2 linked regions of the Caenorhabditis elegans genome follow. The protein of the gene in region 2 interacts with the protein of the main gene of each other region in a biochemical or structural test. Each region holds a gene or a part of one and is shown on either strand. Other genes may lie near its edges.

Evidence for each region.
Region 1: the proteins of nlp-3 (region 2) and npr-42 interact in a test that uses a peptide from one of them, tested with the Caenorhabditis elegans proteins (one large-scale study listed by BioGRID).

Annotation. Positions count from the first base shown.
Region 1 is NC_003280.10:4,273,631-4,280,128, reverse strand, and holds npr-42 (G-protein coupled receptors family 1 profile domain-containing protein), read right to left. Parts: upstream 3,928-6,498; 5' UTR 3,916-3,927; coding exon 3,646-3,915; intron 2,689-3,645; coding exon 2,486-2,688; intron 1,976-2,485; coding exon 1,846-1,975; intron 1,654-1,845; coding exon 1,400-1,653; intron 1,148-1,399; coding exon 1,003-1,147; 3' UTR 861-1,002; downstream 1-860. Other genes in the region: C01F1.5 (Peptidase M12A domain-containing protein), read left to right, coding at 1-340.
Region 2 is NC_003284.9:13,176,928-13,180,797, forward strand, and holds nlp-3 (Neuropeptide-Like Protein), read right to left. Parts: upstream 1,521-3,870; 5' UTR 1,491-1,520; coding exon 1,416-1,490; intron 1,343-1,415; coding exon 1,145-1,342; 3' UTR 929-1,144; downstream 1-928.

The DNA of each region.
Region 1 (6,498 bases), on a different chromosome or scaffold from region 2:
CCAACTAACCTGGCCATTCGACCCGGAGAGCATTACAGTACCCCTTTGGGCTCGTGAAAAGTTCCGGCTCACTCCCTACTGCCCAGCAAGAAACGACGCAGATATCGGAGCCGGTCAACGTGTCGGGCTGCTTACCAAATGGGATACTGTAAAGCTGAATAGTATGTATTGTCCCGAGAAGATCGTAGACGCCGATCCATCACGTGGACCATGTGTTGTTCCGAGAGCTAAGGATTTGGATAGTTTCAAGAAGAGGCTTTGGGCTTATAAGAGGCTTCTAGCAAAGAATACAAAGAAGGCGAGAAAAGCGAAAGTGGTGAAGAAGCACAAGACGGTGTAATATGGTGATAATGATGATCTCCTTGGCATAATGTGTGTAAATATTGAATTTTGAGAAATTTGTTAATTAATCGGGGTTTAAATTGTGTTTAGTTTGAGCTTCCGACATCTTCCGGGCTCCGCCACTTGCTATACTTTTGAAGCGGCCCGCGGAACCCAGATGATGTCGGGTGCTTGAGTTCTCTCTAGCTGCATCTCGTGGGAGAGAAATGACGTCATACATAATTCTTAGGCCACCAATGACGGCACACATCCTCCACCAGTTTTCTTGAACTCCGACTAGACACAAATCAACCCAAATTTTAATATTATATGTACGTTTAATTGCTTTCAATCTTTCTTCATAATAATAAAACCTTTATAACTATTGAGTTTGACAAATCGGAAAAATGAGTTTTGCGGCCAACCTCATCCGGGTTCCGCCGCAAGCTATACTTTTTTCGGCGGTTCGTGAAAGAGAACTCTACCTTGACAGAAATAAACTCAAACTTTAATAATTTTTTCACAAAATATATTTCTTAAAATCTTTATTATTAAAAAACCAGAATTTCAAGTGTGCTCCCAAAAATAACAATAAATTATCACAAATATAGAGAGTTGGAGAGCAAATGGACAAGAAAAGGCAACAAATTGTACATATATATAAAAATCTGCTTATCACATTTAAAGCATCACAGAATGTGCATTTGGTTGTGAGCATCTCGTTTTCAGTGGCTCAAGCTCACTTTGTCTTCGAATAGTCGGATTCCGGCCGGGTAGGACGCGGTAGAGCAGCTTTTGGAACACGAATTGATTGATTTCAGGGATTCTGGAAGTATATAGAGTTTAAAGTTGTAACGCTTTCAAGAAGGTATCAAAGACCTGCCTGCCTAGTAGACACCTAGTAGGCACAAATGAAGGCACATCAATGCCTATAATAAGCGATAGGCAGAGGTGTAGGCAGATAGGTTGGTATGACGTAGTCAAGTAGTCATCTAGGCAGGCAGACTTTACATAGCGATACAGGCGTTGCGTAAGCGCAAAGGCATGCATACCTATCTGTCTACTCAAAAACTCTTACCTTGTCGCATAGATAATTGGATTACACAACGTCTTCGCCATAATACTGACCAGCACGGCGATCGACATGATAGTTATCGAGACACTGTGCTTATTATACAGGGGCATACTTTCTGCAGTCAAGATGTACAGGATACTTGCTGGCATCCACCCGATCAGGAAAGTTCCGAAGATCAGAACTGCAGTCACAACTGTACGCCGTCCACGGGCAGATGCTCCGAGGGTTTGGGAGTTGGAAGCGGTTTTGCTACGGACCTGGAAGTTGAAGTTAAAATATTGCCCAACTTTGACAAATCATATCTCGGTTGTCATTGATTTTATCAAAAAATTGCCAACTAACAAAACAATTTTCATTTGTTTCTCTATAGTTTTGTAATTTAAAACTTTTCTGTATCATTTAAATGAACAAAGATATGAGTTGTCAAAGTTGTTGAACATTGTACCTACCTCGGTAATTTTTTGTAACATTTTGATGTAGAAGATGGTGGTAAGAATGATGAGAAAGACAATGATAAGAGAGACAAGTGCGCGGAAATAGAAGTTCTCGTAAAATTTGATGCCCATGCATTTCTCGCTTCTGGAATAATGGAATATAATGGGTGGTTTTGTATGTATAATAGTAGTTAGATTTCATTTAATTTGCTGACTGACAATAGGAATACGTTTAACTTGTGATGTAGTTTTAAGGCTAATTAGGCTTAGGCTTAAGCTTAGGCTTAAGCTTAAATTTAAGCGTAGGCTTTGGCTGTGTCCTAGGCTAAGGCTTAAGCTTCGACTTGGGTTTAGGCTTAGGCTAAGGCTTAGGCTTAGGCTTAGGCGTAATCTTAGTCTTAGGCTTAGTCTTAGGCTCAGGCTTAGTCTTGGGCTTAGGCTTAGGCTTAGGATTAGGCTTAGGCTTAGGCTCAGGCTCAGGCTCAGGCTCAGGCTTAGGCTTATGCTTACGCTTAGGCTGAGGCATAAGCTTAGGCTCACAATTAGGCTTAGGCTTCGGCTTAGGCTTTGGCTTAGGCTAAGGCTTAGGCTCAAGATTGGGCTTTTGTTCCTAGAACAGCTATCAAAGGCTTTTCAAATCCGTTACAACACTTACTGATATCCCTGTCCCGAATTGCTGGCGAAATAGATCATAAGAGCCATTGGCGGTGTTGCCCACATAAAGAAGATCATAATGTAGATTGTTCGAATCGGGAGTACTTTATGATGGTCGAATGGTCGTTTAATGGTCATGTAATGGGTGAATGCCAGTGCGACGAGATGGAAAATTCCGGTAAGCAGACCTCCGGTTCGGAATGCCTGAAAGTTGGGGGTTTTGTGAAGTTTCATAAAATTAAATGTTTTCTAAAATTGATTTCTAGAAATTACGGCAAACTGGCAGGTTTATGACGTCACTTTCTTGTTCATGTTTACCGCAATTTTTTAAATCCAAAAAACTTCTAAACTTTAAACTTCAACTTCACAAAATAACAACCATTCATTAAACTTTGAACATTTCTAACATCATTTTTTGTTTCTCAATTCGATTTTCTTCTGAACCAATTCCTAATTTCATTATTTTTCCAAATAGAAGAGCACTCTCCATCTAACAGAATAATTTTATCCTCCGTACATCACGTCAACTCAATTCAAGTGTTGCATTTTGTGTGCATTGTTGCGTTTAATTTTATTTATTAGATGAACTAGTGTTGCTCAACCTATCAAGTTTCTTCACGGCTCGGCGAGTAGCAAGAGATCAAGAATTTCGAAAAGTTCACGTAGTGATGCCTATTCCCTGCCTGCATGCCTACCGCCAATTTTTTGAATTTGGACATGACCTCCAGGATTTAGGGTTTGTAGACATTTTCTTTTTTGATGAGACCATTGCATTTTCAACCGGAAAATGAAAAAAAGGTGTTTTTTTTTCGGTAGTAGGTACCTCGGCATGCATGTAGGCACAAGGCAGGCGTAGTAGGGTTTCGGATAGAGCCCAAAATGCCTGCCTGCTTGCCTTCAAGGTCGTCTAGGCCTACCTTTTGCCTACATGCGTGCCTACTCCCTAAGTACACGTATTGAATTTTGAGCAAATTAATATAGATGATTACAAGATACTTGTGGAAACTTTTACCTGCGTACGCCGATCGAGTTCAGAAAATAGGCGACAGGCAGGCAAAAAATAGGTAGGGATACCTTTAGAAATATTTTAACAAGTTTTGAAAGTGGCCTAGCTTTTCTTTATTTCTAGGCTTTTTGAGCCACATTTCAAAAAAAACCAACCTCAAGAGTTAACGGAAAGCAATAACTGGAATGTGGAATATTCAGGACGACCGGCTTGTAACTATTCCAAAAAAGGGAAAATCCAATGACGATGCTTGTCCACGTGTCAGATAGCGCCAACGAGTAGGTCAATTCCAGTGAGGCTGATCGCATTTTACAGTACAACCGGGAGATGACAACCATGAAATTGAGAAATGCGGCGACACAACATAGTATGATAATTGATGGAATAAAAATTTCATACATGAAATATTTCACGTTTGAGTCCATTTTTTGAGGTCTGGAAATTTGGAAAAATTGATGGGGTTTTCTGGGGTTTTTTTGGAGATAGGTAAGAAAAATGGCAATGAGAATTTACAATATTTTCGAATAAAATATATGTGTAAAAATATAGCAAAATAAATAACTTGAAAAGAATTTCAGGCAGTGTAAATAAAAACACGGTTCAGTTTCAGCGTTTGTGTTGACTAAAACTTTTTTCATCGTTTTTTGAAATTAATTTTTCTAGAATTTTCAACGTCAACATGCCAATTCCTTCAAGCTTTAGGTGTACTCATAACGATCAGAGAACTGGAAAGGATGACTAAAATAGGAAGTTTGGTGAAACATAAATTTCCTATTGACGTTGATGATTGGAAATGTTGAATAGAGTACTAATAAATAAACTTAGAACTTTTCAAAATTACAGTAGATAGGATTTTTGGGTCTTTGAACTTTGTTAGAATCGAATAAATTAGATTGGTGGCCTAGAAGTTTTGAAAAATTCTTTTTAAAAAATGTTGCCGGAAATTTGGGATCTGTTTGCATTGATTTAAGTTTGCCTTAAGTAGGTTTGAAAATTAGGCAGGTAGGTAGGTAGACAGGTAGGTTGTTAGATAGGTAGGCAGGTAGCTAGGTAAGTAGGTAGGCAAGTAGGCGAGAAGTTCGGCACCCTAGGTTTCTCCCGGGAATTTCAACAATGCAACTTTGTGTGAAAAAAAATAGATACAATAGAAATTTGCAAATAAGTTAGATCCTAGAAAATAAAAAGTGTGGGAAGCAACTTCTTGGAAGCCTTTTATAGAAAATTTAATATTTGACCTAAATCCCGGACAAGCTTAAGTAAAGTGGCAACATTTCAGTAATCCCATGCGAACTACCCTCCCAGAACGGGGCTTGCAAACAATGATGAAACGGCTGCCGCAGAAGAGGAGCAAAAAGTCTAATTAGGGTGAAAAACGGATGAATGAGTTGAATGGGGGCGGAAAATGTGGGGAAAATGAAACAAAAAAGATGAAAAAAAAGTAACGGGGCGCGAAAAAAGTTCGTCTTTTTGTTTAACCCCGGGAATAATTAATTCCTCGAAGCACACACTGCATCAAGCAGTTCAGTTTTGTCACGTTTTTTTTGCTGAAAAAAAAATTAAAAAAATTTGGAAAATATAGATGAAAGGCTTGAAATGATGGAGGAGAAGCTTTTGGAGGAGCACGGGTCGAAAAAAAACAACAAAACAAAGCAATTAGTTTTGTAAAGCTGAACATTTCTATGGGTTTTTTTTTGAGGAGGAGGGGTGGATGGAGGAGACGAAAATTGAGGAAGTTTTTTTTTCTTGTTTTCTGTTTTTTGGTTTTTATTCGACTTCTAGAAAGTATAACGTCTAGAAATTCCATAAAAATTCCATTAAATTCCATAAAAATTCCCAAATTAATTCAAGTTTAGAGAGCTCGCCAAGTGTGCAAATGCGCTCTACCGAACACGGAGCCCAGAGATTTCAGAATTTGTTTGAATATTAAAAGTCATTTTAAAATTTTGAAAACTGAAAAAATCTGATGACCAAGATATTTGTGTTTTTTTGCAGATAGACTAGGTAGGCACACAAATATTTGACTACCTGAACCTCTGCCTAATTCCAAAATACTCTTGAACCAGTTTCCTTTGGTTCAGGCTTTGATAATTTAAAAATTAAATAAGAAAATTCGTAAACCTTGAGTTAACCCTAAAAAGAAGTTAGGTAGGTAGGTACATAGGTAGGTTGGTAGGCCGAAGCAGGCAGCCTAGTAGGTAGGCATAAGCCTGTGCCTGTTTTTAAGCCGAAAGACTGGAAAAAATTAAATCAGATTTTCAAAATTTTATACCAAATTTAACGTTTTATGCTCAATGTTCACGAGAGCGCAAAATTTCAAAATTTTATATTGAAACATTTTTCAGTGAAAATATTTCAAGTTGTGAAGAAAAAAAAGAAGCTCATTCTGAAAAGCACAGGATAATATTCCCCAAAACATTTTTTTCTACTTTTTCTCCATCTTTTCTTTTTCTCCGGGGTTAGGTTCGTTAGTGTACTGCTCCTAACTGATGGACTTTGGTTTAGGCGAAAAAGAGAGGGGAGAAGCGGAAAAGTAGGTCATTTGTGTGTTGTTTTTGCAGGTTTCAGTTAAGTGACTAACTAGTTGAGAGCTTCGAATCTATACAAACAATTTTTCACGAGGACAGGATGGATAGAGAAAGCTGCAAAAAATTGGACTTGAAAATTTCGCAAACACATTTGTGCTAGGCAGGCGTGCCTAGGCGCCTACTTTGTACCTGCCAGCCAAACTCAAGTCCGCCTACCTACGTGCCTACTTCAAGTATGTCAACCTACGTGCATGTTTGCCTTATGTCTGCCTGCATGTCTGTTGGAGTGACTATATAGTAGTGCTCGCCGACCAAGCTATTCAATGACTGCTCGCCGACTTTCATGGCAAGCCTACTTATGTGCCTGCCTACCTTACGCCTGCCTACCTGTCTGCCTACACAATGCCTGATAAGCCAGAAAACTAACTTTTGCCTTAAACAAATTGGCAGACTTTACGTCAACCTATGTAAAATTTATGAGCC
Region 2 (3,870 bases):
CTTGAATTATCCTAAAATTAGAAAATATTTTAATTTTTTGTCAAACATAAACTTTATCATGAAATCGGGTCAGAAAATGCAAATTCAAAAACGGATTTTGCATGAAGCTTGGAAATTCTTCCCTAAAATTTTCAGTTTTTAATTCAAAACCTAGCAGACTTATTTTTTATAGAACGAGCTATTTCTCCAGCTACAATTCAATTTTTCAATTACCAAGCTAATCAAATTTTGTCACCGTGTCCCCATTGAATTTGTGAATCGAGTTGTCAAGTTGTCATGGCGCTGTGGCAAACAGTGAAATTGTCATTTTGCAATGATATCACTCCCTCCCACGGATTCAGTGAAGTATGCAATAATTTTAGCCTGTTTCAACTTGCTGGTTCTTCGAAATATACGTTGTGTACGAGATTCTTCTCAACATTAAAAATACATTTTGTAGCCAACGTGTGATTTTGCTCGTATTGTTTGTTATTCAGTAGATACTCGAAAGAAACTTCTATGTATAGAAAAAGTCATCTGATTGGATATATTGTCAAATAATGTAGCTTCAAGGTATGGCCAATGAAAGAGCCGTTGGTTCTGCTGACCCGAACCGTGCGTCAGAACAAACCATAGCTTACACAAAGAACTCTATTGTCTTTTTTTGTCGGCATGCATTTCCAGTGTTGCCAGCCATAATCTCGCCAAGTCATGAAGACCCGTATCCGGTTTACTGATCCGTGGGTGAATAAAATGCTAATCCTTTTTTTCTGGTATATAATCTTAGCACAACATTAATGTCGCTAGAGTACGTGCTTACAATGAACAATTGTGTCCCGGATTAGTGTCCAGTCAGTTGATGATGAAGCTAGCCGTGGTTTGTGAGCGTGATTACCGCTCCGTGGGAGTTTTCAAACGTATTCTTGTGTGAATTTCACTTCAGAAATATCTTATTAACAGAGTTTATTTTCTGGCTTGCTTGCTTACTACCACACGAGGAAAAAAGGATTCGGAAGAATAAATGGTGGAGGGGAATTTTAATAAGATCTCGCAAATAGTAAATCGTCTTAAAAATTGAAAATGAAGGAGTAAACACAGCGTGAACACTCAGAATATAATGAAAACAATACGAAAAAAGGCTGATCTGATTATAATTTAAATACACTTAATAGTAATTTTCCAACATTTCATATCGATTGTTGGAGCGTTTTCCCAAAGATTGACCGGCCAAGCTATCAAAATATCTCTTCTCCTCAGTGATCATGTCTGGACGGAAAGATCGTTTGCCAATTGAGTCAAGGAACGGGTTGACAGCTCGTTTTCCCATAGAATCCAAGAATGGATTGATTGCTCTTTTTGCTCTCTGCAATGTTATTGGTATTTTATGTAATATTGGAGAAACTTTAATCTAAGTTTCAAGTTTTAAATTCACTTACAAATTCATAGGGAGCAGAGTAGACACACATAACGCTGAGAGCGAGTAAGACCAAGCAAGCGACGATTTTGCTCATCTTGAGTTGATATCACAAGCAAATTTACCACTGAAACAATGTAAGATTTAAATTTGAATGGAGATAAGAAAAATTGAGCTGAAAAAACGTGAGACTAGAAGCTCCACCCTCAAGCGAGAAAAGAATAGACAAATGATTCTAATCCGGCAACTCTCTGCTGGTTATATAGCACGGGAGAGTCCTAGGACAAGTGCACCGCCCATCTGAGGTGATTTGGGCGGAGCCGAAGGTAAAGTGTGAAAGATTTGAAGAAGAAAGAAATGAGCTCTTGATTGGATTACAACAAGACAGAATCAAATGATTTCAAAAGGGGGATTGAGAAAGTGAATCCAAATTTATTCTGATATGGATGTGTAAAACAGCGTTTTTCCTTCATAATGCTATAATTGGATCAAGTTTCGAATGCTTCCGTTGTATAATAAGAACCCAAATTCAATTTTTTTACGCTGAGCTGATCTCTTGACTTGTGCTCCCCATTATATGGCAAACCTGATTCCTTATTTATTTACATGATTGACTTTTATGTAGGAGGATTGCAGAACATGGAGCATAACTTTCTAAAGGTTGATGTGCCGAAAACCTATAATTTTATTTCTCAGCAGGACATTTAACATCACATTTGCTTTAAAAAAGTTTTCTTGGAATGCTTAACACCTTTCCCAAAGTTAAGAAAGAAGACACAATTTTAAACGGAATTGGAAATTTCGTTATTATGAAAATTATGAAACCTTATTGAATTCTAGTAAAATATGTTCAACCGAAATTAAAATTTCTTTGAATATTAAGACTTCGCTCCGCGTCAAGAACATTTTACAAAATAAAAAATGGATCTTAAGAACCGATGCTCGGCAGATACCGAAATAAATCATAGGGATAATGTTAGAAGTATGTTGAATAACATAATACGTCAAAAAAACCAACTTTAAAAAGTCTAACCGTTTTCCTTTTTGGAGCATGACTAAATAAGGAACACTCAAAGCTCATGAGAAGAATAGGTAATTTTCGAAAATAATTAATGCTCAAAAAATAATTAAAAAGTTGTTTTTTTAAATCAATCAAAGAGCCAAAATTTACAAAATACAATACATTAACTGTTGTTTTTTATCCGTGTACAGCGTAGATTTATGAGTTTCTGTACTCTGTCAAATTGATAAGCAAGAGATAGACAGTGCCAGTGTGAAAAGTTGAAGGTCACCTATTGTGATCATTGTGGTATCCGTCTTGCAAGCTTAATCTTCAACATGTCACAAAGAAAATCTGAGCTTGAGAGATTTAACCTTGCACTATTGTCTAGAAGCCCCTCACAATAAAGCACAGAATCCAACAATGTACAAAAATCTGTCCATCCAGATTTTCAATATGCTCTTTTTTTTTGAAAATATTTTTAAACTCCACAGGAGAGATATGAAAAACTCTAAAAATAAGGTATGCGGCAAATTTTCCTAAAAAGGTAATTTGTGACTTAAAAATTTACCATTTGACTTATGGCTCCAAAATTATTTTTGATGTTTCATTTGTTACAGAATATATCCCAAAATGTTGGGTAAATTAACGCTTCGGATTGGAAATTCTGTTCATCATGAACAAAAAAGTATATTTTCGGCATTGCAATACCGCGCTTTACTGAACTACATATAAACGAATTAACGCTCATATTTTCTACAACTTCCTACTTTACTAATCTTGTAGACATCCTCCTTTTTTTCCTACATTTGTCAAAGATCTACTAATGTTACATAGTACGTTTACCTACAATAATTGTAGCTATATTCAGTACCTTGAACTACCTTGTGATAAGATTTTAACTAAATTTAGACTTTGAGAAACAGAAAATTTGTATGTAATCCAAGAGTTTTTTACATGAAATCTGAGTTATTTGATTTGTTTTGTTGCCCGGCAACAATGGCAAAATTATTAGTTATCTACTTGACTTGCTACTAATCATATGACATTTGTGATAGGCTTTCATTAATACTCCTCCACAAATTTATAAAGGAATTTAATCTTCTTTGAGCAACACTCAAAGAAGAAAAAAAAGCGTGCATATCTTTTTAAAAGTTGAAGAATTCTTTGAACCAAGTGTAGATACTCGAAAAGATCAAAAATTACAAGATCTACTGAGTGAAAGTTCTTCTTTTATGATCACCATGTCTAATGGTACTTGAAATTGGAGACAAAAAAAACAGGAGGGATGTATGTTTCTGTGTCGAATTGCACATTTGAATCAACATCAGCCAATTGGGGGGAAACTAGGAATAATTCAGTGTGAACCTATGTTTTATTCCATTTTCTGTTTGCGTTTTAGTTTTGAAATTTGAACGCATGATTCAAAAGCTCATTGCAGGTAAAGGACTTTGGTCTAGGGAAATGTGAAATTTTC